2 linked regions of the Pelodiscus sinensis genome follow. The protein of the gene in region 2 purifies or fractionates together with the protein of the main gene of each other region. This does not show direct contact. Links are inferred from orthologs where the notes say so. Each region holds a gene or a part of one and is shown on either strand. Other genes may lie near its edges.

Region 1 (15,869 bases), on a different chromosome or scaffold from region 2:
GTATCTTGCTGGTTGCTATGCTGGGGCTGTGGGTGACCCCCACTGGCTGCTGTCTGTAGCACGGCCCAGCAGAACAGGGGATGAGTCACTAGGCAAGGGTCTCTCAACCTGTCCGACCAGCTACCCCCCAGGGAGAGAAACAAAGGAAGGTGGAATGCCGCTCCTGGCTGGGGGGCAGGGCTGCAAGAGGGTTAGTTTCTGTCTGGTATCATGGAGGAAGCAGGCTAGGCAACAGGCTGGATTTTAGGGGCCCAGGCTCCCCCATCTCAAGGGGGGGCTGAGGCATCCTAGGCCTGCCCTGTAACCAAATTACATCTGTGCTGTGCTGTATCCTGGAGAAGCAATAAACTTCCTCTATTCTACTGGCTGGTGGAGTCTGTCCATGCCATTATGGGGATGCAGGAGACGGGAAAAACCCGGTGCACCATCACACTGCCTCTCTCTGATAACGGCAGCAAGGGGCGGGGAGAAGACGAGTGACTAGTCGAGTTGGTACTCGACTATCCGATAAGCATTTGCTTATCAGATAGTCGATTAGTCACTTATATCCCTATATCAGACTATTATATTCTGAAGCCACACATGTAGTTTTCCTGTCCACCCCGGGAGTAAAAAGTATTGCTGTTATGCTCTAGGGCTGCCTCTTGTCCCTGGTATTGCCATATTACAGTTAGGATTCGGACAAACAGGGCTATCGAGTTGAGGATGTCTTCTACCATTAAAACCTATAGTTGCTTGCAATGTCTTCTACCATTAAAACCTATAGTTGCTTGCAAACTGAGGGTATTTGTTGGATGGAGGGACTATGTATTAATGTACAGGCAGTCCCCGGGTTACGTACAAGATAGGGACTGTAGGTTTGTTCTTAAGTTGAATCTGTATGTAAGTCGGAACTGGTGTCAGCCGCTGCTGAAACTGATCAGTTTCAACCGCGGCTGAATCTGGATGCCAGTTCTGTGTAGCCCAGCTTTGCTCGGGTGTCCCTGGTCTGCTGGGGGGGTCCAGTGGCTTTGCTGGACCCCCCCAGCAGACCAGGGGGACAGGAGCAAAGCCGCCCAGGTGGTGGGAGTCCCGCTGCCTGGGCGGCTTTGCTCTGGGGCAAACGAGCAAAGCCGCCCAGGCAGCGGGACTCCCGCCACCTGGGCGGCTTTGCTCGGGTGTCCCTGGTCTGCTGGGGGGGGGGGGTCCAGTGGCTTTGCTGGACTCCCCCAGCAGACCAGGGAGACCGGGAGAAGCTTTTCTCGCCCCGGAGGACATGGGTGGTGACCCGCCGCCCATGAGCTCTGGGGCGAGAAAAGCCCCGTTCGTAAGTGCAGATCCGACATAAGTCAGGGACTGCCTGTACTGTTGGCTGGGTGTAGCGGTATTCTCACATACAAATCCCGCACCCTATCCAGACTAGATTACCTTCACTGTATGCTGATTTTCATGTGAATCTTTGCATCCAGTCACAGAAAAGTTACAAAAGTACCATGATAACATTCTCAGCACTACCAAAAGAGCTAGATTTTGCATTAACTACCATAAAACTGTGAAGGGAATGGGTTGGGGCCTACCCAGAATATGTTAAATGAGCACCAATTTAGTTTAAAGTGTAAAAGCAAGGCAGCATTATTGAGATACAGGAGACGTAAGCTAAAAAAACCCCAAAATTTGATTGGATGACCAACAATAATCCTGTTTTTAGGGAAGTCAAGTAACACAGACTGCAATATGCAACAAAGTGCTAATAACCCCAAATGAAGCAAACAAAAATTTTGAAAGGGCAGAATAAAACAACAAAAAACTAATGTCAGCATAGTCAAGCAAGTAAAAAAAAAAAAAAATACCAAAAACAAAATATATAAGGTTGAACAAAACAGACCAAAAGCGGATGTGTTGTGAACCCAAAAGCCAGGTCTGATCAACCAAGTGACTCCCTCCCAGGCACTAAATCTCACTGCCAAAAACCCAAACAAAATAAAAACCAACCCACATGAAACCTGCTAGTTTAAATTAATTTATCTTTTGTGTTTTCTTTACAGCAAATGCATTAATTACAGCGAAGGATATTGTTCCAGTGGTTTGTCATATGGAGTACAGACAGTCCCTGGGTTACATGGATCCGACTTACATCGGATCCCTACTTACAAATGGGGTGAGGCAACCCCGCACTAGCTGCTTCCCCCCAGCAGACCAGGGAGACGCGAAGCTAGCACCCCCCCCCCAGCAGACCAGGGAGACGCGAAGCGGCTTTTCTCAGCAGACACCTCAGCTCGAGAATAAAGGAGTGAGGGAAGTGAGGTGTGGGAGAATAAAACTGAGCTCTGGAGAAATGTTTGGCTAGAGTTTCCCCTACAATATGTACCAGTTCCGACTTACATACAAATTCAACTTAAGAACAAACCTACAGTCCCTATCTTGTACGTAACCCAGGGACTGCCTGTAGTTGTTTAGGTGGTTGCTTGGACTCTCAAACACATTAGTGTTATGTTGAAGTGTTCACATGTCAACAGTCACAAAAGAGAATAGAAAAATAAATACATACTTCATACCAAGCTTTTATGAGGGGTAAAAAACAGAAGCTGCAATATACTCTCTTGATTCATTTGAGGGTCACTGATTAAATATATTCTAGCCTGGAAATAATGGCATAAAATTTGTTCAGATTGATCCAGGAGATCCCTTACGCCAGGAAAATCACAAAGGTGCAACCAAGCAGAATTTGGCCCTATGTGTACATATGCATCTGACAGAAGTGAGCGGCAGACCAGGAGATATTATGCTCTAATTAACTTGTTAGGCTATAAAGTGCCACAGGATTCCTTGTTTTTGATTAAACAGACTAACGTGGTGCTCTCTCTCTGAAATGTGAATACAGTAGTTTCCCTGTCCGTCCAATACACTAGCAATATGCAGTTTGTTCAGCTCTAAGTCAAACAACATCTAGGAAAGAAAGCACAGATTATGGAATTATTGGGCTAACACCCACCCACCCCAAGGTAATGGGTGACACTAAACACAAGTATGTAGAGAGTGCCCCTTTATTCCCATCCCTACTTCTGCTGTTCTACTTGGCACAATACCAACCACTGTGTCTTTACTCATATGATGGTTCCCACTGACTTCAGTTAGACTACCCATGTACCGAAGAGCTTTGCCAAATCTGGATCATAATGCTATCCATATCACTATCTCAGTCTTTGTACAAGAGATGTCAGACACTTCGCCAAAGGATCAATGCCCACAAAACAGATATCAGACAGGATCACAAAGAAAAAACAGTTTCTTGCCACTTCAACCAGAAAGGACATTGTCTCAACGACTTGATTACCTGCATCCTGCTTCAAAGACCTTTTAAGACTGCACTTCAAAGAGAATCCTCTGAACTGTCATTCATGCTTAAATTCGACACTCTACAAGCAAACTGGAATAAAGACGCTAATTATCTTACCCATTACAAAGATAGATTCCCCAATTATCACCTCTAATATCATTAGCTCACAGACATTTACCTCCCTCCCTTCCCCCCCATTCCCCTTCTGTTCTGAAATTTGATTTGTCCTTTTCATGTGTGTTTGCTTTTTTTATTGTATCCTTTGGTATATATGGTTGTGACAATTTTCTTCCACTATTTGATCTGAGGAAGTGGGTCTGGCCCATGAAAGCTCATCACCTATTAAACCATCTTGTTAGTCTTTAAAGTGCTACACAGTCCTGTTTTTTGTTTTTACTGATCTCCCACATTAATGTGCTCTTAGCAACAAGCCCTTTGTTTCCTGAAGAACACACAGTAGAGGAATAACACTTCATGAAGAAGCCAAATAAAAGAGAAGCCACACTAGTAATAGCAGCACTAACAAAAATATACCACTATGATACACTTGCTGTTTCATTTAATCAAAATGTACATTTTCTCCCAAGCTAATTTGGCCATTAAATTATGAGATCAAAATCAGTGATAACTGAAGTTTGTATATGTCTTTATCATCTGATTTTTTTAAAAATGGGATGAGTTATGTCAATTTATTATTTACTATTCAGATTAGAATAGTGCCTTAAGGTCCCAACTGAAGTCAGAGCCCCACTGTGTCTGGTGCTGTACAAACCCATGAGAGACAATCCCTGCCACAAAGAGAGTACAGCCAAATGCCCAGATTATGCAGAGATTTATGCATGCACTTCATTTTCTGCCCTGTAAATAACCCATATAAGTCAAGGGAAATTTTCACATTTTAAAAATTATACACTTGCATAAACCTTGGCAGAAGTGGGATCTAAATATTTTAAACAAATAGTAAGAGAGGCAGAGAGAAAAGTAACTTGTCCAAGGCCACATTGCAGGGGACTGGAAAAGCTGGGAGAAGAACATAACTTACAGTTACCAGATCTGTGCGTTATGCACAGCAGTGCTCCTCAACCATCTGTGTGTTTTGAGAGACAAATGGGAAATAATGAGCTGGGAAGCAACATTTTATTTGCTTTAGATCAGGGGTCTCCAAACTTTTCAGCCCGAGGGCCGCATTAACTATCAAACAGCAGTTCGGGGGTCGACTACACACTTGAGGTCCAAATAAAAAACAATCAAAACATGGATGTTGTTTTTAATTATTTATTTAATATTATTTTATTCAGTTATTATTTAATAACACATTGATACACTACACATGAACACCTGTATTAGTGTGAATGGTGAAATTGTTTCCTGGATGCCAAAATAGCAGACATTTCTGGCTTTAGATTTGTTGTCCCTAACATCAACAGTGACCTGAGATTATCATTGGACAAGTTTGTTCTCAAATTGTTCTTCACATATTTCATTCTTGAAAATGTTTGTTCACACAGGTATGTAGTTCCAAAGATTGAAAGGTACCTTGATGCAAAAGTTTTGACATTAGGAAAGTCTTCCTTGGGCAAAAACTGGTAAAAACCCACCAGTCCTATTTTGAACTTTACCCGAAACAATTTTTAAAAATTCTTATGATTTCTTAAGTTAAACTTACCTGAATATAGTGTGCAAATATATCCACTTATGGTAGAGAGATTGTTGCTTTTAATGTTTCCTCTTCAGAATATTCGCCTGCGAATCCGTTTCTCCCGGAAGGGGGGGGGGGGCTTTTCCCCCTGCTCTCCCCTTCCTCTGCACGCTGTCCTCCCCTCCTGCTTGCCACCGCTCACTCCTTCCCCCCCCCCGGGCGGAAGGGGTCACCTTTTTAAAGTTCCCGCCGGGGTTCACGTTCCCCCGCACGTCGCCGGGCGGGCATTACCACCACCGCCCATCCTGCCCCCTGATTGGCCGGCTGCCCTGTCAGTCTGGGCGGGGGAACGCTGCCCGTGCTAACCCCCGCCCCCTGCGCCGTTTGCCGCCGCGCGGCCGCTTGTCAGCGGAGCGGCCTGCTTCTCCTGCCCCGGCGCGGCCTGAGTACACGCCGCACACCCCTGACAGGGTCCCCCCCCCGCGGCAAGAAGGGCCCGTTCGGCGGCGCCCCAGGGACGGGCGGGGGTCGCCTCGTCACACCGGCACGTGGAAGAAGGCGGGGCCAGACAAAAAGGTCTCCACGGGCCGGATGAGAGGGCCTCGCGGGCCGCATCCGGCCCACGGGCCGTAGTTTGGAGACCCCTGCTTTAGATCATGGGTGGGCAATAATTTTGATGGGGGAACATGCCAAGATTGTGTTAAGTGGTTGAGGGCAGCATTCTTATGGAGGAGGTGAGGTGTCTGTAAGGTGAGGGTGGGTGCAAAAAAAGGGAGCTTGGGGTAGGAGTTTGGGGTGCAGGAGAACATCTGGGGTCCAAGGGACACTGGGTGAAGGAGTGAATTGTGGTCTGGGGTAGAGGATTGGGGTGCCGTGTCTGGGAAGAGGCAGTGGCTTGGAACACTGGGGGGCAGGAGCGGCTGAGGTACCAGTGGCAGGCTCTGGCCTGGAGGAACTTACCTAAGGAGCTCTTGGACAGAAGGCCTGCAAGATCTCTAGGCAGACTCCCTGCCTGCCGCAGCCCCAGGAACTTCCCAATAAGAGCTGAAAAATTGTGCTGGGAGTAGGGCAGCGCCCAAAGCATTTCCCTGCCCCCTGTTACCCAGAGCAGAGCCAGAGGGAGCAGCCGGCTGTGTAAAGCGGTATGGAGCTGCCCTGTGCCTAAGGGTCTGAGTGGAGAGGCCTGGAGGCCAGATCTGGCCCAGGGCCGCATCCTACCCATCCTTGTTTTACAATTTAAACTGTAATACAACTTCAGTGTCCAGCAGTCCTCCCTAGAAGCCCTGCCCCAGCAGAGGAAACATCCATAGAGAGCGGCTGCCTTCCAGCCAAGCCCCCCCTTGGCTAGGGAACGGCTCCCCTCGCTAGTGACCGGCCTCCCCTTGGCTAGGGAACGGCTCCCCTCGCTAGCGACTGGCCCCCCGGCCCCTCCCGGGCCAGGGAACGGCTCCCCTCGTTAGCGACCGGCCTCCCCCCCGGGCTAGGGAACGACTCCCCTCGTTAGCAACCGGCCTCCCCCCCCCGGCTAGGGAACGGCTCCCCTGGCTAGTGCCCCCCCCCCGGGCTAGGGAACGGCTCCCCTGGCTAGTGCCCCCCCCCCGGGCTAGGGAACGGCTCCCCTGGCTAGTGCCCCCCCCCGGGCTAGGGAACGGCTCCCCTGGCTAGTGCCCCCCCCCGGGCTAGGGAACGGCTCCCCTGGCTAGTGCCCCCCCCCCCGGGCTAGGGAACGGCTCCCCTGGCTAGTGCCCCCCCCCCCGGGCTAGGGAACGGCTCCCCTGGCTAGTGCCCCCCCCTCCGGGCTAGGGAACGGCTCCCCTGGCTAGTGCCCCCCCCTCCGGGCTAGGGAACGGCTCCCCTGGCTAGTGCCCCCCCCTCCGGGCTAGGGAACGGCTCCCCTGGCTAGTGCCCCCCCCCTCCGGGCTAGGGAACGGCTCCCCTGGCTAGTGCCCCCCCCTCCGGGCTAGGGAACGGCTCCCCTGGCTAGTGCCCCCCCCTCCGGGCTAGGGAACGGCTCCCCTGGCTAGTGCCCCCCCCCCGGGCTAGGGAACGGCTCCCCTGGCTAGTGCCCCCCCCCGGGCTAGGGAACGGCTCCCCTGGCTAGTGCCCCCCCCCCCGGGCTAGGGAACGGCTCCCCTGGCTAGTGCCCCCCCCCGGGCTAGGGAACGGCTCCCCTGGCTAGTGCCCCCCCCCCCGGGCTAGGGAACGGCTCCCCTCGCTAGTGCCCCCCCCCCGGGCTAGGGAACGGCTCCCCTCGCTAGTGCCCCCCCCTGGGCTAGGGAACGGCTCCCCTCGCTAGTGCCCCCCCCCCCGGGCTAGGGAACGGCTCCCCTGGCTAGTGCCCCCCCCCCGGGCTAGGGAACGGCTCCCCTGGCTAGTGCCCCCCCCCGGGCTAGGGAACGGCTCCCCTGGCTAGTGCCCCCCCCCGGCTAGGGAGCTGAGGGATCTCAAACCGAGGGGCCCTGAGGCACCAGGGCAGCGCGAGCCCAGGCGCCGGGCTGCTGGCCCTCAGGGAGAGGGCGGGGCTCCCAGGCAGGGCACAGCAGGCTCCCGCCTCGGGCGCGCGGGCGGACGGAGCGTGTCGCACACGGCCCCGGGAAGTGCCCGTGGGGTGTCCCTAGGCCTCGGGGTCCCTGCGGGGGGGCCATGCAGCTCGGGGCCCCACAGGGCGGAGCCACAGAGCTAAGAACCCCGCCCAGTGGGGGCGGGGCCGGAGGGGAACCCGCAGCGCTAAGAGCCCCGCGGGATTCCGTTAGCTCCGCGCTTTCCCGCCCAGCCCTGGCGGCCTCACGCAGCCCACACGCGCTCTCCGCCCCGCCCCCACGGGGCGCCTGACGGCTCCTGAATGGCCAGCTCGGGCTTCCCGGGGTTAAGGCCTCCCACTCGTGATTGGCCAAGTTAGCTTTGGGGGCGGGCTCTGTCTCGCATCCTTTTGAAGGGGCCACTCAAGCGGCCGTAGAGCCGCGGCGGCTGCCGCTGTTTCATTGGCTCTGCCAGCCCGCCTGTCATTCCTAACAGGCCGTTAGTGCGAATGGGCACGGAGAGAGTCCAGCACGTGACCGCCCCCCAGCGCCCCGCCCCCCAAAGACCTCCCCCGTCCCCTCAGGGACCCCTCCGGCCCGCGCCGTGTCTGCAGCGCGGAGCCCGCCCCGCGCTCACAGCTCTGCTGGGCCGGCCCGGCCGAGTCCCCTCCCCGGCGTGGGCCTGGCGCCACTGCGAGCCCGGCGGCGGGCGTGAGGCGCCTCCCCCGCCCCGCACCGGGAGCCGCGGCCCCTCCAGCCATGGACAAGGAGGAGGAGCGGCGCAGGAAGCTGGAGGCCGGGCGCGCGAGGGTAATGACGGGGCTCGGGCGCTGGGGCCCGGCGCCTGCGCCCCCAGGGACACGCTTGGCCGCCGCAGCTGGGTCCCGAGCGCGCAGAGCCGCGCGCACCCCAGGCCAGGCTGCGGCCCTGAGCCGCGGGCAGCCGCCGTCCCGCCCCTGCCGAGAGCTGGCCCGTGCCGGGGCTGCTGGGCAGGCGGCGCACCCCTTGGCCCCGGCCCCGGCTTGGCTTGCGCTTCCCCGTGCGTAGCGGGAGGTGGGTGCCCAGGGAGTTGCATTCTCCGTGTACAGATCAGTGGAAGGTGGATGTGTGCAAATCTTGTGCTGAGTGCAGTGCAGCTACAGAAATGGGTAATGTTAATAAAAGTCAGGGGGGGGGGGGTTCTCCTCCTGAATTGCTGTCGGGGGTATCTGAAACGTTTGGCTGCCTGCACGTCATGCCTGATTCAGGAATAGTGGGAAACATTCTACTTTGGACATCAGTGTAAAAAGTTACGCTCGGGGCTGAGAGGGATGTTTCCTGACATCAGCTATACGTTCGTTTGATTCACTTAAAAAGGCAGGGTTTAAAAGGTTCCAGTGTAAGACAGAAGTTGTGTAGGCAGAGAAGTAAAGGTCTTAATTTGGTGGCTTTGGAGAGTGCTCAAGGATGGGAGATCATAGTTCCTGATAGTGGTATGACCCCACAATAAGAGTTACATTTTCCGCTGCTTAAATAACTGATAAACTTGAGAGGCATATCTGGGTCAACATAAGGATGATTCTTTTTTAATACAGACTTAATATACTTGGAAGTAGATTGATACTTGAGAGGTTCAAGTGATAATTATATGTAGTGGAAAGACAATAAGTGTTTACTCATATGTACAGGGTTTAGTTGAATGGATCCTCCCACATGTGTAGAAATGTACAGTACCAGGGCCCAAGAATGTTAGCTTTTCAGTGCAGTTACGGTTTTCTATGTCTTGTTCAGTCTTGAGCACCTTTGTTAGGTACTAATCCTAACAAATAAATGGCACTATTTGGAAAAAAAATCAAATATGCTTTACATTGAACCTGATCATATTCGTAAGTGTTCATATGAGCAGTCACTGTAACATTTCTGTTGAAGGTTTCTTTTATTTTTGTGGACTATTTTTTTTTTTTTTTTGCCTCCAAATAGAAATATATGTTGAAATAGTAACAGAAGCCAATGTGGTCCAGCACATAGGACAGTAGACTGGGAAACTAGGTGTTGGTTGGCAGGCCATCTACAGCATAGCCTGAAACTAGTCTTAAATTACTAAAATTGATGCAGTGTGATTTGGTATCCGAGTCTGTAGCTCTTTAGCCAGTCAGAATAAATCAGAAAATTCTGATTTTACAGTTTTTTGTATTTCAGAGTCAGAGAGATATGGTGGAGGAGGTTATATCTTTTATTGGACAAGCTTCTGGTGATGAAAGGACTAGCTTTCAGGTTACACAGAGCTCTTTCAGAATAAGGAATTTTGACAAAGTTTATATTTAATGACTTGTTTACATCACTGATGAAAAATGATAGTTATCATTAGTCTCTCAGACCTAAACAATTCTGGGCTTCTCTCTCCCACACTTCAGCTACTGGATTAATCAACAATGCTGAAACTATTGTAGGCATTCAGTGCAAAATCATTAGGATTTTGTGTTACAATTTAATTGTGAACAATGGTGTTTGCATCTCAATTGCATTTAGTTTTAGGGCTGTATTTTGTGCCAAATCAGGAAGACGAGGCATTTGTTGACCTTCCCTTTTAACTAAGAAATATAGGGGCTAGAAACCTTAAGATTTCACTTTAAAAAAAATTCTCCCCAATCTTAACATATCAAGTGGTCTGCATAAACACTTCTGAAGTGGTGAGGTGCTTGACCTTTCTGCTTTAGCAAAGGGGCATAGTCTTAAGTATCTTAAACTGGAGATGTTAAAAATTTATTAACCATGTAACTGATATAACTGTTATATGGTTAACTTCCACTGCCGGAGCTCCCGGCCCTGTGTGCCTACTGTGGCTGTCAGGGTTCCTGGGGCTGCCACTACTCTTGGGGCTGCGGGGACTCCCAGCAGCTTTTATAAACAGTGTAACCGGTACTGGTAACTGATAAGTGTCAGCTTATCCATTAATCAGTTACCCGATTACACTCTTATTAATGCATTGTCTAGTATAGAACCGATACATGACTAGCTGACAGCAGCTGTGCAAACTCTCATAACACAAGTTGCTGTAGATATGCAAATGTAAGGAATTAATTCATTTCAGAAAATTATAAAGGTAAATAAGCTTCATAAAACCAGTGGAATTCAAAGGGCAGTCTTGCTTCTTTCTATATTGCTTTACTGCAGCAAAACCAAACTATTACAGGTGTTAATTTTTCATATAGATTGCATGCAGTAGTTCTACATACTATGATATTTTACTTGTAGATTTGGTAACCTTGATTTTTCCTATTGGAAGAATGTCTGGTCTTACGCTGTGAGTGAGATATTGGTTGCAATTGCTGCTTATACACAGTGCTAGAGTGTAAAATACTCTAATCATCTTTGAGCTGTTTAAAGTACTGAGGAGATATGGGTAGTAGATGTCTATGGGTGACATTATTTGCAAGTCCCTAGGGCTTCATAGGACTGTGTTAGTTTGTTAAAGTAGAACATCTGATTCTTCAACAGAAGAAATTAAAATGACCTAGCTTAATTAAATTTCTATTTATGTATCTCAGTCTGCTTTCAGGCAGGGAAGTTTTGCTATATATTCTCTTGTTGGAAGGTGAAAGGCAAGAAGACGCTCACCTTTGTCAATTCTAGTCTTTATATTTGCTGCGCTAAGAAATTTTAAGATTATATTTCTATAGAACTCTGAGAGACTTCAAGGCTGTCTCATTTTAATTTGTTCGTGTATATGGACAACACTCAGTCTCTTAATAATTTATATGGTTTTAATTCTGGATTGTTGTTATAACCTGCCAAATATCAGGAAAATATTAGTAAAAAGTTGACTCTTGTGTTTTTGTCTAATTGTACTGCTGCTTAGATACTGCACATTCAGTTTCTAAGTAGGAAGAATAAAGCAGGTTCTCTGTGGACGTGCATGTTTTGTCAAATTAAAAATTTGTTTATCATTCATGAGTGCATTAATCTTGTGGTGTTGTTACCTTTTCCTTGCTTATCTCTCCATTTATCTCTTTCAATCTTTTATTCACAGTTTGCTCACTTCAGACAGCGAAAAACAAAAAGTGACAACACGCAGTCGCAGAAAAAGGCGGCGAAGAGGAAGGGTGCGTCTGACCACCCACATGATGCTGTAAAGGAAGAGTGCATGATAATGGCCCAGGATTCTGATGTTCTTACAGACCTTGATATAAGTCTGAAGAATAAGACTGAAGAGACAAAGACACAATTTGAGACTAAGGTAAGTCTTCCTATTCACCATGTTTAATCTAAATCTTTCTGCAACTAACAGATTGTTCTCTGAGCTCCCATATATGGCCAAGTCTACGATGAGGGAGAAAATTAATGCAAGATACACATCTCCAGCTATGTGAATTGTGTAGCTGAAGTCAATGTTCCTTGTAACCATTTTCTGAGGCAGCCCCACAGCAGGAGGTTGACTGGAGAAACGCTCCTGTCGACTTCCTTTACTCCTCATGACAGCTAGGAGTGCCTCTCTTGACAGGAGTACTGCTATCCATGGGTACCCTCAACATTTAATTTAGCAGGTCTTTACTAGACACACTAAATCGAACCCCAGAAAATCAGTCATCAGAGTGTAGATCCTCCAGTAAGTGAAGACAAGGCCAATGTGGTTGCCATGCATGATGTGTCTGTGCCCTCTATACAGAAGCTGTGAGGCTTTTCTCTAGCAGTGACCACAAGGACCTGGACCCTGCATGCTCTTGCACTTCCTTCACTGAAGACCATAAAAGGCAGACCAATCCCTGCCACCAGCCAGTTCCTGCTGTTTACTTTGACAGAGAACTGAAAGTTCTTAATGTCCCTACATCTTATGTAGATAGTTTGATAATAGTCACTTAGATTTTAGTCTTTGTTTTGTTGCACATTGGTTTACGAGAAAAGTAGTTTTGTAGGTAGTAAGTAGCTGTACTATTGTGTTTCAGATACTCACTGGGCATCATAGCTTGTCCATTGTGTGGAAGAGTGATTGTGCTGGAAAATGGACATGTGTGCTTATATTGTTACAGAGAGCCATGTGACTTCTAAATGTAATATTTGTATGATATTAAAAAACACACAGACATTTAGAGTCTGGGCTCAAAGTTCTCCTCCTGGAGAAATCAGAGAGCAGCTTGTAACTTTGAGTTTCTAATATGGCCCCTTGCTGCTCCAGCCATCCCCGGAATGTTCTGAAGGAAAGAGAAATCCCTCACAGCCATCAAGAGGCCAAGAGGCTTCTCAAATCTGACAGGAGCTTGCACATCAGAAGAAGATCGCTGTGGAATAGTCAGAGATCCCTCTTGCCTCTGAGCAAGAGACATTCTATTGGTACTGAACCGAGTCTCTGGTATTTCATAAGAAGCCTGAGAAGCAAGCACCAAAGTGCTTTGGTGACATAGAGGCTACATTCAGTGATGCTGGCTGTTGAATTGTTTTCCAGTCCAGAGAGCTTCTTTTGCACTTGCTTTACTTTGGATGACACACAGTTGTTACTCCTCTCCCCTTCAAAATGCTTGGTATTGGTATCTGATATCCCAAGGAATCAACATTAGACATCAGAGTCTCACTCAGTTCTCAAGGCAATACCTGGGTCATCCTTTTAACAGTCTTGGAGAACATGATTATACCAGAGCATAAATCTTTTCTTTGCTGCTTTTTCTATCTTAGTTTCCCTAAAATTTTAAATGCAACAGGAGCCCAGGCTTCCTTTATGAAAATCTAATTATGGCCTGCTGCTATTGATTGTTCCACTTCCTGAGTACTCTCTATTAGAGTACATTGTCATCTTCATTAGCTGAATCTTGCTTGGAGCCTTCCCTAATATCTGCTTAAGTCTCATGAGAACTTTTCTTCTTGGGATACAGTGTTAGTTCAGTTCATGAGACTGTATTACATGTGTGATGTCAGTACCTTGGGATGCTGTGTCTTAACATGGTTAATATCCATATGGGTGTTATATTCCAATTCAACAATTTTTCCTTTCCACTTCAGGATTTTCCTTTGCCTTCTCTTCCCCAAAGTCTATGGTACTGAGTACACAGAAACCTCTTTCTTAAGAAGAGGAGGAGCAGTTTCAGGATGAATCTTTATTAGCTAGACAATTTTCATCTTCTGAAAACAGTGTGGTATTTTGTTTCTAGGGCAGTAGATAACTTATTGGCTTTTCAAGAACTGTTAGAGAAGATGGCAGAAAACTTAGAAATTCCCCTGGAAATATTGCAGCAGAGGTCATAAACTTTTTGATAGCCTTCTACCTGAAATAGGGTAGGCTTATACTAATGGAGTATTCTTGAGCCAGTTAACAAACTGAGGGCAATCCAAGTGGGCTGATTGGAAATATCTTATGAGAGACTTGGTATCATATATATATATAGTAGCCCAATGTGTGACACTCTATAACGGTGTAACATTTTCTGTTGGCTCTGTAACATCCTTTGCCTCCTGCTGTAGAGCTCAGCTGACTTCTGCGCCGCTCAGCCGGGCCGACGTGCAGGAGCAAGTGGTGCAAATGGCCGTTTAGGCTCCGTGGTCCCCATGCAGCATGTGTGCTGCTTGCTCCCGCGCTGCAGCCCGGCTGAGTGGCGCAGAAGTCAGCTGAGCGCCACGGTGGGAGGTGAAGGGGAGCTATGCAGTGACGTACACGGCCAGGGGCGGGGCCTGGATGAGCGTGCATCCCCGATGGAGGCAGAGGGGAGGGCAGAGGAGACAGAGAAGAGAGGAGAATGGAGGAGACAGAGAGGAGGCGGAGGAGAGCTGAGAGAGAGGGGAGGCAGGAGGAGGAGGAGGGGAGAGAGAGAGACGGAGCAAGAGACCGGAGGCTCAGGAGAGAGGACCGGGATAGAAAGGGAATAGAAGTCAGCTGAGCGCCACGGCGGGAGGTGAAGGAGGGCAGGGCAGTGATGTACACGGCCAGGGGGCGGGGCCTGGACCAGTGTGCATCCCTGATGGAGACAGAGAGGAGGCGGAGGAGAGCAGAGAGAGCGTGAGAGGCAGGAGGAGGGGGAGAAGAGAAAGAGTCAGAGAGAGAGAGAGGCAGGAGGCGCAAGAGGGCTGAGAGAGAGAGAGAGAGAGAGACAGGGAGGCAGTAGGAGGAGGAAAAAGAGAGAGACGGACGGAGGGAGAGACCAGAGTCTCAGGAGAGAAGACCAAGATAGAAAGGGAATAGGATGTGGAGGAGAGACCCAAAAATCCCATCTTATGACGGGCTATTGGCTAGTTTGAGAATATTTGTATTTCTCTGGCTCTATTGCTACTGGTAGTCACTGTGGTAAATGAAAAATCTAGGCAGGCTTTGAGATCTGCCTGAGCTCAGAAGAGAGAACACCAAGAAAATCCTGGATCTCTCTGGGACAAAGATTTACACCTCTACTTCCCTTCAGGTCAGTCAACATGGTTTGATAAATTGAAAATCTAAGTATGATTACATCCAAGGGGACAAATTGGCAAAATTTTAGGATCATCTTTTAATTCTATAGGAAAAATAATTGACTTCCATTTGCTCTGAAGGAATGTTGATTGGAAAAACATCTCCACTAGAGATGTCAATAGTTAACTAGTAAGCAGTACCAGCCCAGCCAGGCCATAGTGCGGGGGATGAGGTACTCTAACTGTGGATGGGAGGGGTGCTTCAGCCCCTCTGGGCCAGCTAGACTGTGCCCATGGTTAATCAGTTAAATATAATGTTTAACTGGTTAACTGATTAAACAAGACTTTACATCCCTTATCTCCACAATCAGCATTAGACTGCCGCAGATGCGGGGGCATGGTCAATGGCAACTGGAATTGTCATGAGAAGATTGTCTTGGGTCATGACAACTGCACTTGTCTTCCTCTTTGGTAGTACAGTGAAGGCACCCACACTAGGCTCAATTCTCCTTGGCTGTCACCTCTTTTTGGGTAGAGATCTGCTTGACTAGTTTTTTTTTCCAAGCTAAATAATTCCCTGCTTCAACTGTGAATTCCCAGCCAACTAAAATGCTGAAGCAGATTTGCTTTTCTTTCCTCTTCAGCTGCTATAAATAGTGTGATTTTCCACAGTTATAAGTTACTTCATGGCTCTAAGCAAGCGCTGGTTGGAATTAGCGTGATCTCAGGTAAACTTAACATGTAAGTTCTTCTTAATATATATTTTTTGTAGTGTTTTCACCTTAAGAATGTGCTTTTCCACAGTTAGACATTATTTCATAGCTCTAAGCAAGTACATTCTTAAGGTGAAAACACTACAGAAAAATATGTATTAAAAAGAACTTACATGCTATGAAGTTTACCTGAGATCACACTAATTCCAAACAGTTCTGTTGCAGATGATCAGTTCTTCAAACCCAACCAGGGCTAATTCTTCTTGTCAGAAGTTTGTAAGAGTTGTTAGCTCAGAAAAAGCATATTCGTGAATAGGCCATGTTCTTCCAACCTTTCC
Region 2 (15,903 bases):
CCCCCACTATAGAAAGGATTGGAAAGGGTCCAGCGGAGGGTAACCAAAATGAGTAGGGAGCTGGAACGCATGACCTATGAGGAGAGGCTGAAGGATTTGGGCTCATTGAGTCTTCAGAAGATAAGAGTGAGGGGGGATTTGACAGCAGCCTTCAATTTCATGAAGGAAGGTTCCAAAGAGGATGGAGAGACGCTGTTCACAGTAGTGAGGGAGGGCAGAACAAGGAACAATGGTCTCAAGTTACAGTGGGAGAGGTCTATGTTGGATATTAGGAAAAACTATTTCACTAGGAGGGTGGTAAAGTTACTGGAATGGGTTCCCTAGGAAGGTGGTGGAATCTTCATCCCTAGATGTTTTTAAGTCTCGGCTTGACAAAGTCCTGGCTTGGTTGATTTAGTTGAGATTGGTCCTCCCTTGGGTAGGGGGCTGGACTTGACAACCTCCTGAGGTCTCTTCCAGCTCTATGATTCTATGATCCTCATAAGTAAAATTATGAGGTCAGAAAAATGCCATATATTGCGTTGTAAAGCTCAGGGACATTAAAATGAGTTTGTGAATGTGTAACTGCTGGAAGTTTCGGTGGTTACACATTTACACACCGGGGAGGTAGCGAGGGGGAGGAGTAGAGAGGCAGGCCAGCTCCTCATGCACTGCAGCCAGCACAGGGGGAAGGGGTTCCTGTGTGTAACTCTGTACGTTAACTGAGAAGCCTGGACTCACTGGTTAACTATGTATACAGGTACACATTCACATCCCTAGGGAAGAATTACACTAGAACTATTCTTTAAGAGGAGTTTGACCATGAAGCCATGTTGAGACTGCAACCAAGATGGGACATTTTCTAGCCCTAATAACAGGATCTGCTTCAATCTCAACAGTTACAGTTAAAAAATGGGTAGTAAACTGATGAGCAGATTCTCAGATGGTGTTCATCAGGGACTTCAATAGAGCTATGCTAACTGACACCATTTAAGGACTTAACTCAATCAAAATAAATGCATTTATGGGTCTCCAGGAAGTTATTGTACCTCTACCTTTTCAGTAGTCAATTCTGTAGCATACTCTATAGGATTTAGCAATTGATTTTTGTCACTAAATTTTACATGATAAATTTACTTACATTTTCATAATCCTTCATGGTCCGAGCTCTGGTTGGTGAAACTATATCTTCCGCCACATCCAGAAACACTAGACAACGGACAAGACAAATCAGATCCAAACCAGCATTCCCTCTAAGTTGCACAGTGGCAGCAGCTTCACAGATGATTAATCAGCCTCACACAATCGGTCAGCTCCTACAGGGAGCCCTGAGCCTGACTGGGCAGGGCTGACTAATCACCTGGGAAGCTGTGCTACAGCGCAGCTTAGGAGGAACCAAACATCCAAATATCAGAGGATCCAAAATTACAATGTTATTAGGGGAAAAAGGTTATTTTAACCATCTGAATGCATTAAAAGCATCAAACAAGTGTATTTTCATGTGCCCTTTTTAAATTATGGACTGAGTTATGACAAAAACAAGGCAGGTGCTCATAGCTGCGCAGCGCTGTGCCCCTCAAGATCAAGGCTTGCATCCATAGCAGAGGTAGCAAAGAAATATTAGCTACTTCTCTATGTATATGATTACAAATAATCAAAGTGTTTCTCTCTCGTGTTCATTCTACAATAGCCAAAATTTAATAAGGAACACAAATGTGGTATTAAGACAGCTATGAACATTCGCAAACTTTAAAAAGGGAAGGGCGGGGGGGAAGAGATTCTATACAGGAGGCTTAAAAATTGCAGATTATATACAAAATGTGACATCATATATCTACATATCCATATATGGAAAAGCTAGAATTGAAGGATTAAGGGAAAAAAGTTTGAAGTACCAAGTTCCCACTGTTTAAAGAAAGTTCCCACAATTAAAAGAAATTATTGAAGTAAATATTTCCAAAGTTATCAAGTAATTCCATACACACTACAGAGCCTTTCAATATTCCCAGGAATGCCAACCAGAAGTCTTCAAATGTTGAAGATTTGACTAACATGATGAGATACATAGAACATCTACAGTAACAGCATCACTGCCATACAGCAATGTAGGTTTATTTCTTATAATTGCTTGCTTTCATAAAAAAATATCTTCCAGTTAGCATATGTAAGTTGTTTTCATTATTGCACAGCAGAATTGTAGACCAGGGAAGGGCAAAAAGGCCTCCTGCAGGCCAGATGCGGCCCGCCAAGAGAGTTGATCTGACCGTGGAGTCCCTGCTACTATCTGCACCCCCAGGCCAATCAGGACCTGGAGGGACGGAGGGGAGGGAAGTGCGCAAAGTCTCCTCCCATCCTGCAAGGGGTGCGGCACTTCTAAGCACCGCATGCTCCTTGCAGGACAGGGGCAGAGCGGGAGGAGACTTTGCACACTCCCAGGCCAATCAGGGCTTGGGAGCAGGAGGAGCGTGTGACATCTCCTCCTGCCCTGCAAGGGGCTCAGAACTTAAAATCAACCGCCAGCTGACTCTGAGCATGGCGCTCCCTTGCAGGGCAGGAGAAGGGAGCAAGAGACTTCATGCAGAACACAGAACCATCCTGGCCTCGTCCCTTCTGGGGTGGCCTAAGGCAACTTCAAAAATTTCTGAAGTAGCACCCGGTCAAAAATTATTGCCACTCATGTTGTAGACTTAGCTTCAACTAAATACACAAAAGCATACTGGACAGAATAACATTCAAAATACAAGGCCAGGAAACTGGTTATCAGAACAGAGAAAATTGCTATAATTATGTATAAGTAGTTTTCATTTGATATTTCAAAATAAATGTTTCATGTTGTATTCTCTCCCAAACATGTAGTAAAATGAATATTCAGCTACTACTCCTACTCCAGAAAGTAAAACATGCTGAATTACTATCCCTGCTCAATACAGTTCAACAATATTTGACAGGAAAAGTCTGGTGAGAGACTTTCACGTGCTCTCTCTAAAATAAAGGACTAAACTACCATCATTGTTTCTGAAATTAGTACAAGAAGAACAGGACCAAAGTCTTGCAGGATCAGGATCTTAATGACAATAGAAACTTAATATGTTGGTATCTTGGCTTAATACAAATTGGCACTCTCTGGTACAGCAACATCCCTGGTCCAGCATCATTTTAGTTAGCTGGATGTCCACCTACCACAGATGTGGCCAAGTCTCCTGCAGTCCCATAAAGTTTGTTTTTCGCCATGAGTCCAGGCTTTCAGTGCTCTGTGCTGTTATTTAGCTCGATTTTACCCCTAAATGTCTTCTAAGAGCCCAGTAAGCAATGGAAGTGGTGGTAATGCTCCTAGACCCGGGGTGGTCTCTTTCATTTAAAAAAGATGTGGCTCCTGCTGCTTCTGAGCCACGCGCCCTGACTATTCAGGCCGGCAGCTCTGCGCATGGCGTCCCAGGGCTTGCTCACGGGCAGCCACTCAGCACACAGAGTCCCAGCGCCTGGAGGGAGAAGTGCGTGGCGGCGGATCCAGGACCTAGGCATTAGGTTAGAGCCGGGGGGGGGGGGGGGGGAGAAAGAGGTGCCTGGCTCTGGGTCAGGGGGATTGGGTTACAGTGGGGGGGGGGGGAGGTGCCTGGCTCTGGGGGAAAGGAGAGGGATTGGGTTAGAGCTGGGGGGGCGGTGCTTGGCTCTAGGAGAGGGGAGGAGGATTGGTTTAGAGCGGGGAGGGGGCTGGCTCTGGAGGAGAAGGAAGGCATTGGGTTAGAGCTGGGGGATGGGAATGCCTGGCTCTGGGGAGCATTGGGTTAGAGCAGGGGAGGGAAGGGGGAACTGGGAATGCCTGGCCCTGGGGAGGGAGGGGCATTGTGGGGGGGGGGGGGCACGAAGCACCTTAAGCTCAAAGTCTCCGTGGATGCAGAATAAGGCAGCCAACACAGATGTCCTATTTAAATTCTAGGGCAAAAAAAGAATCAGCATGTACCTGATTTACAATGTTTCTTTAAAGAATATTCAAAGGCTATTGTTTGCCAGGCTGAAGCAATTATTCTGAGATGTTTTTGAACCTCTCATATTTGCAGTCTGGGACAGGCACTTCAAATTGTGCTAAATTACTTCTCAGTGCAGTTTGATTTAAAAAAAAAAAATCACAGGACATAATACGGCAGTAGTGTTAAATTTCAAATACATAGTGGGAATGCTTTTTTGTGAGAGAGAATTTACTGTATTTTTAAAGGTTTTTTTTTATTTGATGTGTTTTCCTTGTCAAGTCCTCTGAAGATCTATGAATTTAAATTACTAGAGACTTTTGTATTGGTTTTTGTCTGAAATGTCTTGTAATGTTGTTTTTATTACTACATGTTGTGTACTATATCGATCTTTCTCTATATAAATATATAAAAATAAATATACAATACGTGGCTCTTTGTATTCTATTCACCGCTATTTTGGCTCTTTGTCTCTAAGTGGTTGGCCACCCCTGCCCTAGACAATACTCAACACCCATGGTTCGGCAAATTCTCTGCTTCGGAACAGGTCAAAGCTCTAGGATGCTGGACTAAAGCGGTTCAACCTGTACCACTAGCTTCAGTTTATACGGTTTGTTGGTTTTCTTAAAGGGACATTATACTTATAAAAATTATATGTTGCAAATAAAGAAGTTTATTTGCCTGTTACTAACATCTATTAAAAGTGAACTGTTAAGTGTGAAGGCTAGGATTATAACAGGGTTTAAAAGAGAACTAGATAAATTCATGGAGGTTAAGTCCATTAATGGCTATTAGCCGGGATGGGTAAGGAATGGTGTCCCTAGCCTCTGTTTGTCAGAGGGTGGAGATGGATGTCAAGAGAGAGATTGCTTGAGCATTACCTGTTCAGTTCACTCCCTCTGGAGCACCTGGCATTGGCCACTGTCAGCAGACAGGGTACTGGGCTGGATGGACCTTTGGTCTCACCCAGTAAGGCCATTCTTATGAACTGAACTTACTTTTCGCTATTTATGATCTTTATTAACTTTTGACACTTCTACCAGCTGGGTAATTTATTCAGTTTCACTATGTAGTTATTTTCACTTTCAGATTCCCAGTGCTGCAATATTTGCCTAGCAAATACTGTGGGTTAATCGTTTGAAACAATAAGTTTTTAACACAGGAACATTACAGAAATGTGTTTATTAGACTACAGTGCTGTAAGAACAAGTTTGGCTGTTCTCTAGACAAGCTCTTGCAAATAAGATGTTTATCTTCTAACTTTGCACTCTCCTGAAATGAACATTTCAAGCGTTCATTTGACCACTTCTTGTGTGCCATCACATTAGCTGCCCTTACCTCCATTACCTCCTACGCCAATACAAGGTTCTTCTCTGGAGACATCTGGCAGTCTGGAAATACTGACGCTAAGAGTGAGACACAGGAGGCATTTCAGTGATGGAAAGTTTAGAAGCCCCACAAAAAGTCCCTCCTTCCTGAGTACTTCCAGTGTCTCTCCCCAACACACAATACACGGCAAACACCAAAACGTGTTTTGTTAATCTATAAAGTGCTACCAGACCATTTGTTGTTTTTTAAATTTATCCTGTACAGACTAACTCCGCTAACCCCTGAAGCTACCGAAAGGGAGGGAAGGGATCCAGGTAACAGCTTCGCACCCCTTCCCCAATATTAGAAAAGATACTAAGAGCCAAACAGCCACATGGGAGGTGGGGGTATGAACCCCAAGCTGCAGTACTCCTGCCCCTGTGTGTGAGGCCCAAGCCACAGCCAAACTCTGGGGGCTTCAATCACCAGCAGACAGCTCCAGCAAGAGGTGACCAGACCCGAGTGTGTGGGGAGGGGGAATCCCGAGCGCCCCCGGTCTCGCCGGGGGGAAAGGGGTACTCGGATTTCCACACATGCACAGTCGGTCTGGCTTGGAGGAACGCGTGGGGGTGATGCCGAGCGCCACTCCGCTCCGCAGGCCAGACCCCAGTGGGGGGGGGATCTCAAACAGCCTCGCCCACGCCGGACGCCCTAACGGTCCCGGCTGCCTGCCCCGTCCCACCCCGCTCCTACCTGCCGCTAAACTCCACGGGCAGGGTGAGGTCCTCCCCCGGCAGCGAGTCCATGGCGGTGCGACCCCCGCAGGGACCCTCCGGCGGCGGTGGCGGCTCTGGTTGTTATTGTCCGAGTTTGGCGGCTTCGTTGGAATTCAAACGGCCGCAACCGCTTCCGCCATCTTGTATATCCGACTGTGAAGCCACTTAGGCCGCTCTGCAATGGTACGTGCTGAGGGCACGATAGAAAGCTAATGGGGCGCCGCCATCTTTGCTGAGGGCAAATGCTGCATACGCCAGCTTGACTAAGGGCAAACTTTTGCGGCAACCAAGGCCAGCAGCTTTCACCTCTAAGAACAAAGAAGGTAGCGAATGTGGGCAGTAGCCATCTTGAGTGAGGGCATGAAAACGGGCAGCGTGCGCAGCCGCCATATTTAATACAAGAGCGAAGGAGGGTGTGACCAGGCGCCATCTTTAGTCAGGGCAGTTGCGCTGCGAGGGATACTGGTTAGCATCCCGCAGTGTGACACACGCTCTGAGTCCTCTAGTCTCAGTATGATGCGGTCAGTTCCGGGGTGAGAGCAGCAGCCCACGAGTGCTTCTTCCCTGCTGCCTCCGTCAAGGGAGGGAACAGGGGCTGGTGCTGGGGAGAGCAGACTTAAACAACGGTTCCCCGCAGCACCCTGTCTGCAGTGCCTCCTGCCGCCCCACTGCTGCCTCTCAGAGCCAGCTGGGGAAAGGTAGGAGAGGCTGCTCTGGTAGCAGCCCCGGTCCGCGGGGTGGCTTGCCGCAGCCAGCCCTGGCCACTGTGAACAGGGGCTGCTGAACTCGGATCAAGCAGTCCCGGCTCGCACCGGTCTGGGAGCATTGCGACTCTGCAGTGTAAGTGGGGCGCTCAGCACATTTAAAATGCAGAGGTGCAGCAGTCCTAGAGCGAGCCTCCTCTTATCGACTAATCGTGTGGTCCAGCCAGGCTGGGCAGCGCATGCGCTGTACGCCCCAGGGGCAGGCCCCAGGTTGCGCGCCAGCGGCCATGACTGGCCTGCGCATGCGCCGAGCACCCCGGGGGCAGGCCCACGCTCCACAGGCCGGGCCTGCTATAGATACATACGTTTATCAGCTCTAAATGGACCAGTGTGGTGCAGACTAATCTCTCATATAACACATAGGACTTCCCTCAATTAGATCCTCTTTGGTTGTTTTTCTAAAAGATTTGCACTAATTTAATGTTGTTTTTAAAGAGCCTGTCAGGACAGTTCCCCATTCTGGCACTCTGAGTGCAGAAGGTGGGGGCCAGCGAAGACTTTAAATATACCTTGCCTCTGCAGGCTCTGGTTACAAAAACTCCCCCAGAGTCACAGATTCACTGAGTTTGGGAGGTAGCTCCCACCATCAAGTGACTTATCCCTAAAACCAGGGGGGAACACTTGAATTCTCCCACATGGGGCATCCCAAGCTCTTTCACCCCAAAAGAGCTTGAAAAAAGAAAAGAGAAAAACAAGCTGCAGTCTCTGGTAGCTGACCACCCAGTCTCAGGCAAGCAAATACACACACACAGCCCCTTGTTACTTTCCAGGACAAAAGAATCAAATCATCACCTTAAAAAAGTGATTTTTATTAGCACAACAAAGGCTAACGCACACTTGGTTGCTAGATGTTACAGTGCAACCAAGGAAAACAAAATGGAAAATCTCTGGGAACAATTCTTAGATGGTAAATGGGGAAGGGGAGGCATAGATTCAAACAGAGTAGTTCAAACCAAACCACAAAATAAAGAAAAATACCCTGATCATAACTAGATTCACTTTTTCTCATGATCTCTCTTGGTTCAGTCCACTTCCATGCCCCAAATTCCTTGGAGGCATGGTAGTCCTCCCTGGATTTAAATCATTCTGTGTCTCTCTAATCCTGGTTTAACTCTCCCACACAAAGAAAGCAGGCAAGTTATCGTATACAATTCAGATTTCATTACTGTATGCCCATTGGTTCTTCTCACTCCCTGCCAACACCCTTGCTAGCTACCTGAGTTTAACCCTTTAGTCACCGGGTGCTAGCCAGCACTCCTCTTATCCATCACAGAGCCAGTGATGGAGAATCCACCACACTCCCAGGTAAATTATTCCGGTCAATTACCTAGCAGACAATCCAGGTAAAACATGTTTTCAGGCACTGTATCATGATATACATTTGTCTGCTAGGTTGAAGAACATGTTATGAAAATTTTGTTCGCCATGTAAGTATTTATATAAACTGATCAAGCTAGGCCTTAGCTTTTTCTTTGTTAAACTCTGTAGATTAAGCTCCTTGAGCCTATCACTATAAGGTGGTTTCTAATCCTTTAATCATTCTTATGGTTCTTGTGTGATGGATAGACAGATACTTTGTGTAACATACTTAATAAGCAAGTATAAAGCACAGTGCTATAGTTCCAGCTAAAAGACTCTCTATATCCATACATGGGATGGTAGACTAACTATCAGTATGGCAAAAAATCATGTGACCGTGTATAGTTACGACAATCCCATGAAGGAATTATAGCAATAGTTTCAATGCTCTTTGTTACTTTCATAGCTACATGGATCCAAACAGCAAGAATCCTATCTTTCATAATAATTCAACCTGAAAATACTGTAAAATAACTTTTCTAAAATTGTTTTTCTTGCCCAGTAAAGAGATGAAAGATAGTCAGAAAATACTTCAGAAGAACTGGTGTTTTGCCAAAATGATTTACTTAACTATGCATTGCATCATGAGCCTGTGTTTTGTAGCAGTAGTAGTGTTCCCTTTTCTCATTGTGTGTATGTGATTTCTATTATTGCTACTTTCTTGTACCTCGATAGCTACCGGAATACAATTGAAAGGCAGAAGAGCCAATTTTCAATATGATCTGCTCCAGAAATGTGATGTATTTCTTCAACTGTATTATTTTATCTTTTAAAAAAAAAAAAAAATGAAAGTGATCATCCACATGGAATTCTGTATTTCAACATTATTTTTACATTTAATCATAGAAGCAGATTTATATTGGCTTATATAAGCTATTGTCTCAAAATTGTTTTTTTCTAACTATATTTAATATTTCCAATTTAGGAGGTGTCGCATCTCCCTGTGCAAATACAATCAATTTATTCCTTTGGTGAGCACAGCAGCATGCTGACTTTGCTTTAGAACAGCACATGCCGAGGGCCACAACTTAAGTGTGGTTGCATATACATGCAAATATATATGCAAATAGCTTATTTCACACAATGCCCTGGCACTCCTGGCACCTCCTCTCTGGGAGCTAGAAATGCCGACACTCTGAACCCACCTGTTGCAGCCAGCCCATCCACTTGCATCTTTCATTGCTCACCCACCTGGGAGATGCCTCGCCATTGAAGAGCGTATTCCCAGTGAAGGCCATGTTCAAAGGATCCCACCCGCGGGCCATGCATTGAGCCCCGCGTAAACCCAAACTGTACCACGGCCTACAAAGAAACGGGCCATAGGCCATGTGTTGAGTAGCCCTGCTTTAGAACATTAAACTGACGCACGTACACACAAATTGTACAATAACAGAAATGATCTCACATTCCCACAGTCAGTGATATGGTCCAGATCACCATAGTATGTGAGTGCCCCATAATCAATATAATTTTCCTCACAACACCTATGAGGTAGGGAGGTGCTATTATTAGAGATATTTAATGTTATATAGGAAGCCAAAGGCAGAATTGGGAACTGAGGCTGTGTCTAGACTACATGGCTCCATCGACAGAGCCATGTAAATTAGGGTTGTAGGCAAAGGGAAATGAAGCGGCAATTTAAATAATCGCCGCTTCATTTAAATTTAAATGGCTGCCACGCTGAACCGACAAACAGCTGATCAGCTGTTTGTCGGCTCAGCGCACTAGTCTGGATGCTCCGCGGTCGACATCAAAGCCCTTTGTCGACCACTCCGTTATTCCTTGTGGGATGAGGTTTACCGCGGCGGTAAATTTAAATCGCCACTTCATTTCCCTTTGCCCAATAAACAAATCTACATGGCTCCGTCGATGGAGCCATGTAGTGTAGACATACCCTGAATGTGTAAATCTCCCAAGTCCCTGACTACCATTCTAATTCCAAAACCATCCTTTCTCTCTACTTTGTCCTGTCTTTAAGCTAGCAGTTTTCAAACTATGGGTCAGGACTTCAAAGTGAGTCTGTTGCTGAGGTTCAAAGCCAAATTCTCATCAGTGGGGGCCAAAGACAAAGCTCAGTGGCTTCAGCCCTCGATGGCTTTGCCCTCTTCCCACCCCTGCCCAGGGCAATGTGCTTCAGCTTGGACTTTGACCTAGCCCACAGTGGTGGGGCTTGGGCAAGCTTAGACTCCCCGCTCCTTTAGGGTTGTGCAATAATTTTTGTTGTCACAAGGGGGTTGCAGTGCAATGAAGTTTGAGAATGCCTATTCTAAGCAACATATCCATTAGTAGTTTTTTATATTTTGTTACTGTAGCTGGAGATTTCCAACAAGTTCAAAGCTGTATTCCCTGTAATGGCATCTGATCTTGCAAACATATACATATATATGTTTTTAACTTCTCTCACATAAGTGTGCCACCTGAAGTCAGCAGAATTATTGACATATGTAACTTTAAGCACTCATGTAATTATTTGCATATTGGGAGCCATAAGAAAGGGGCCTAATCCTGAAGTCATTTACTGATATGAGTAAATTTACCCTGCTCACTTCAACAGGATTATCTGAATTAATAAATTTACGTAAGTAAGTGTTGGCAGGATCAGATCCTACAATTGCTCTTATACTCTACTGCTGCAGACAAAAGAAAGCATTTCAATAAAAAGATGTTAATGTAACCCTTTTGCCACGTAGTGTCAGCTGCAGCTATGGCTGGGTTAAATATCTGGGGTTCCCTCTCAGAGGGGTAGCCGTGTAAGTCTGAATCTGCAAAAGCGACGAGGAGTCCTGTGGCACCTTATAGACTAACTGGAGTGTAGGATGCATCTGACGAAGTGGGTCTTTGCCCACGAAAGCTTATGCTCCTACACTTCAGTTAGTCTATAAAGTGCCACAGGACTCCTCGTCGCCACAACACAGTACTGGCTCGAGCCCCCACTCAGTAACCTGGGAAATTCACACAAGAGCCCTGCTGCCTCTGGGAGGCAATGCTTCCTCACTCACAAGCAGTTTGAGTGTAGAAAAGACACCAGTACAGGACAAGGAAGAGAACTGGCAGCATGTAACTTCTCGAAGGAAAAAAAGGCCAGCACAAGAATCCCCCATTCCTACAGAGGTAAGTAAATGCTTTCATTGCTCTTCATGGGTTCTGCGATGGTGAATGCTTTGGAAGACCTCACAAGGAAGAAATCGGAAGGAAACCACTTCTACTGGAAGGCATGGGATGCATAGTCCTAGGAATGGGGGTTCCATGACCACCACACCCAAAAGAAGAAGGCGAGTGGTGGTGGTCGGGGACTCCCTCCTAAGAGGGACTGACCCATCAATCTGGAAGTTTTTGGAGAACGTTGGGGATAATTTCTTGGTACAAGTGCTGAAGGAGCCGACCAGAGGCCATATGCAGCTTAACCTTTGAAAGCCTCGGGGGAAGCCGGCGGCGGGGCATCCCAGGCGCGCATGGGCTGCCCGCCCGCCGGAGCCCCTCCGCGGCCTTGAAAGCCTCGGGGGAAGCCGGCGGGGGGGCATCCCAGGCGCGCATGGGCTGCCCGCCCGCCGGAGCCCCTCCGCCGGCTTCCCCCGAGGCTTTCAAAGCCGCGGAGGGGCTCCGGCGGGCGGGCAGCCCATGCGCGCCTGGGATGCCCCGCCGCCGGCTTCCCCCGAGGCTTTCAAAGCCGCGGAGGGGCTCCGGCGGCGGGGCATCCGGCGTACAAGACGACCCCCGATTTTTGGGGGATGTTTTTTAACTTCAGAGGTCGTCTTGTACGCCGGAATATACGGTACTTTCTTTTCTTCCTTTGGTCAGGATCCTGAAATCTACCATCTCATCGAATTAAGGGCTCCGCTATTTCGAATTAAATTTGAAATAGCAGTTTGCATGTATAGATGCTATTAAAGTTCATTCAAAATAACGGCTGTTATTTCAAATTAACTTTGCAGTGTAGACATACCCTGGGAGTGGAGGGCAGGGGAGGCAGAGGTGTGAGCAGCGCAGGGGGGACAGGGAAGGCTGCCCCTCACTTTCCCCAGCAGCCTCTGTCCACAGAGAGCTCGGATCCCCATGGACAGGGGATGCTGCCACCCCACAGTGCTGCCTCTATATCAGAGGCCACAGTGCAGGGCTGCAGGTAGCCAGTCTGCGAGGGGAGCTAGTTTTCAAATTGACTCCTCTTGTGGACTGGCTCCCGCCTGGCACCCTGTGCTGCTGTCTCTGATACAGAGGCAGCAGTGCAGGGTGGCAGGGGACTCCGTGGGTGTGGGGGAAGATTGCACTGGCTACTAGCCCTGCTCCTGGAGAAGTACAGAATAGCTGACTAACCTCTTCAGATTTCATGCAGTTAGTCGACTATTCTGTTATCCACTATCTAACATCCCTAGGATACAGTGCATGACAAAACTGAATGGGAAATGTTAGGCAATGACCAGCAGAGCTGAGGGCTTTATCTCTTAATTGGGTGCAACAGAAAATCTTTGGTGCTATACATTTGGGATCTGATCTTGTGAAGTACTGAGGGTTTTAAACTCCTGTTGCCTTTGACATGAGTTCAGTGTGCTCTTCTCCTTGTAGCCATGGGTCCTATGCTGTGATGTTTTCAATCACCACTAGTCTGTATTCAGTTTAAAAAACAAGTCTACCATATGGCAGCATGCCAAGCTCATTTGAAATTTCTTATTTAGCTTTAGGATGGGTGTTAGAGAGCTCTTCTCTAAGTGTGTGACAGTCTGGCTACTTAGCACAATAAATTAATTATTGAGTTTAAATGAGGAACTTTCTCTTTCTTATATGACATGGCATTAAATCAATGACAATAAGAAACAATCTTTAGGCAAAGCACCTTTTAAATGATATAGGCCTGTGCAGCATATATCCTGTCCAAAAGGGACTCCCATATGTTTGTGCAGACACATGCTGTGTAGCCATCCTCATGAACCACCACTGTTCAAATTAAATCTGCTGCCAAGCTTGAGGTGGTAAATGTACATTCAACTTGCAAAAGGATAACTCTTTCTGATCAAACAGAAAAGATAAAAACAATCAAATGGATCATTAACTGGAGTTATGTGCAATTTTCATGGGGTTACTGTAATGTCTATTTTACAAAATCTGCAGCAGCAGCATCAAATTTGCAAAGGAAAATTATGCAGCATTTTGAAGAAATTAACTTGCCTTCTGTTAATCAGATTAAGTGTTTAGTTTTATCTTAAATAAAAGCATGTTTTAGAAGATTACAGTAAATCCTCAGACCAACAAGTTGTATTGGAAAAGCCTGTCATACATCCTGCTGTGGCTGAGATCTTTGCCATTTCAGAAATGAAGTACAAAATGGAGGGAAACAATGGAGACCCCCATCTCTGCATATGTAATTATGTGGTTCCACAAGCTCATAAGGAAGCATACAAGAGGTGCACACCTTAATATAGCCCCAGGGTTTTCTATGAGTGGTAGAATAATTGTGCTCATGCTTAGCTTCTTTACCTGGGCTTTCCTCAGACGAACAGTATTTGCTGCAGTGTTCTCAACTGACTCCATAATGAACCTGATCCTCTCACTAATAGCCTGATCCTGCTCCCATTTAAGTCGAGCAAAATTCCCATTGACTTATAAGATTAAATTCTTTCACTAGTATTATCAGGAGTAAATGAAACCAATAGAAGTGCTGAGAAGAAGATACTCAATGCCTTAATTTTTAAAGCTCCAGTTCAGTAAAGTACCTGCACATTCTTAATTACCATTAATTTATCCCCATTACTTAAGTGCTTTGCTGATTTAGGGACAAAGAGAGTCATAAATAACATTCAGTTGCAATGACAGTCTTATTATTTGGTATTTACTTCTCCTTTGCAAGTGGGAGTTACCTTCCTAGCAATGACAAGTGAGAAAGAACTGTGAAGATTCCAGAAGCAAAGTTTTTTTTGGCTTTTGTTTGTTTGTTTTTGTTTTTCGGTTGTTGGTTTCTTTGTTTTTTGGCAGATATAACCAGCCTTTCTAAATCATCAGCTCCTCAGAAGCAGGTCTCAGAGATACCTGATCCACACAGAATTCCTTTGAAATTCCCAAAGAAGATGTAGAAAACACCCACGATACTATGGCTTTCTCTAATTTCACTTTTACTTGATTGCATACTTTTATGCCAAAATAACTATGTAGCAGTAAGAACACTTCTACTGTGAGTAGAGACTCATTGACTGACAAGCTAGTGAGCCGTAAAAGTAATATGTGTTAACAAGAATATAAATAAAAATAGACAAAAGTTTTCATAGGGCTTTAAAAACACTAATGTGACAGTGTGACTTGTGTTGGCCATATGTTGCTTTCTCTTATATAGAGTAGGTATAACTTCATTGACATTGTCCGGAATAGAGTTACTGGTATGAGGTCACTTTCAAACCCTTAGAGCTCAATCCAACTCTATTGAGGTCAATGGAAAATCTTGCCCATTGACTTCATATGGAACTTGGAAGCAACCTTTAGATTATTGTTTAAACATAAAACAAAAGCAAAATCCAGGTGGCTTAGATACAAATTATATACATTTTATTTATTTTAAATAACATTCTTATGTATAAATTCTGACGTATTCAAATCATACACAGCTTTTTTAGAAATGCATTTGGAGACATTTTATTTGGATGTGTTGTAAGACTGATAAGATTTTAATTGGGAGTGACTGTAATTTTAATGATTTAGGCCTATGTTTTCCCATTTGAATTGGAAACATTATTAAGCAGAGTCCCTTGGAAGCTAATTTTAGAACTTCACTTTAGGCTTCAATCTTAGGTTTTTATTTAGAAGAATTTGTACCTACTGTTTGCCACACACATTTATATATAAATAAAATAAAGCTTACACTACATTTAATATCTGGACTGAAGATACTGTATCTCAGAGGTCAACTGCCCCAGAATGCTAGTACAATGTTAAAGACTGTCCATCCTGCCTCAAATTATGTCTGATGGGCTATGTTTATTTTGCCTGGTTCGAGAGAGTGACTATTTCAATATATGACACTCCATGATAACACTCCCTGGCCTAAAACTTCATGTAGTTATTTATAGCTATGATGTTCCGTGAGATTTCAGACCTTACATTCACATTAGCCCCATTTTATTCTTGTATTTTTGTCTGTCACATCCAGTGGTCATAGAATAGCATCCTACCTTGTGATCCAACCAGGGAGCCCCAAGCCTATTATAAACTTGCTGTTTTTATACTTCACCCATGCCATTAGAGGAGTCTTTTTGTTCTCATGTACTTGACTATGGGATTTCTGTTCCCTCATCCAAATCAGCAGGGAAAATGGCTCTCCCTCCTCCATGAAATACACATAAGAAGATAATGGAGAAAGTACTTAAGGAATTCATCCGCAGACATCTGGAAGATAATAAGGTGATAGGTAACAGCCATCATTGATTTGTAAAGAGCAGATCACGTCAAACCAATCTGATAGCTTTTTTTGATAGGATAACAAGTCTTGTGGATAAGGGAGACACAGCGGCCATGGTATATCTATAAAATATTTGTTAAGGTCTCGCATGACCATCTTATCAACAAACTAGAAATACAGCCTAGATGGGGCTACTATAAGGTGAGTGCATAACTGGCAGGATAACCATTCTTGGAGAGTAGTTATTAATGGTTCGCAGTCATGCTAGAAGGGTATAACAAGTGGGGTTCCACAGGGGTCTGTTTTGGAACCAGTTCTCTTCAAAATCTTCATCAATCTTTCAGATGATAGCATAGACAGCATGCTTATTACGT

What was found.
Region 1: the proteins of CDK5RAP2 (region 2) and PCNT purify together in Homo sapiens (co-immunoprecipitation; 4 studies listed by BioGRID and IntAct, with this or other methods). This does not show direct contact. The link is inferred for Pelodiscus sinensis from reciprocal best matches to the Homo sapiens genes CDK5RAP2 and PCNT.

What each region holds. Positions count from the first base shown.
Region 1 is NC_134717.1:65,469,747-65,485,615, reverse strand, and holds the start of PCNT (pericentrin), read left to right. Parts: upstream 1-8,058; 5' UTR 8,059-8,233; coding exon 8,234-8,284; intron 8,285-8,562; exon of another isoform or gene 8,563-8,577; coding exon of another isoform or gene 8,578-8,622; intron 8,623-11,483; coding exon 11,484-11,690; intron 11,691-15,869. Other genes in the region: C7H21orf58 (uncharacterized protein C21orf58 homolog), read right to left, coding at 5,916-6,177. UniProt on the Homo sapiens protein: Integral component of the filamentous matrix of the centrosome involved in the initial establishment of organized microtubule arrays in both mitosis and meiosis. Plays a role, together with DISC1, in the microtubule network formation.
Region 2 is NC_134732.1:9,783,333-9,799,235, forward strand, and holds the start of CDK5RAP2 (CDK5 regulatory subunit-associated protein 2), read right to left. Parts: upstream 6,385-15,903; 5' UTR 6,059-6,384; coding exon 6,006-6,058; intron 5,351-6,005; coding exon 5,283-5,350; intron 1,189-5,282; coding exon 1,121-1,188; intron 1-1,120. UniProt on the Homo sapiens protein: Potential regulator of CDK5 activity via its interaction with CDK5R1. Negative regulator of centriole disengagement (licensing) which maintains centriole engagement and cohesion. Involved in regulation of mitotic spindle orientation.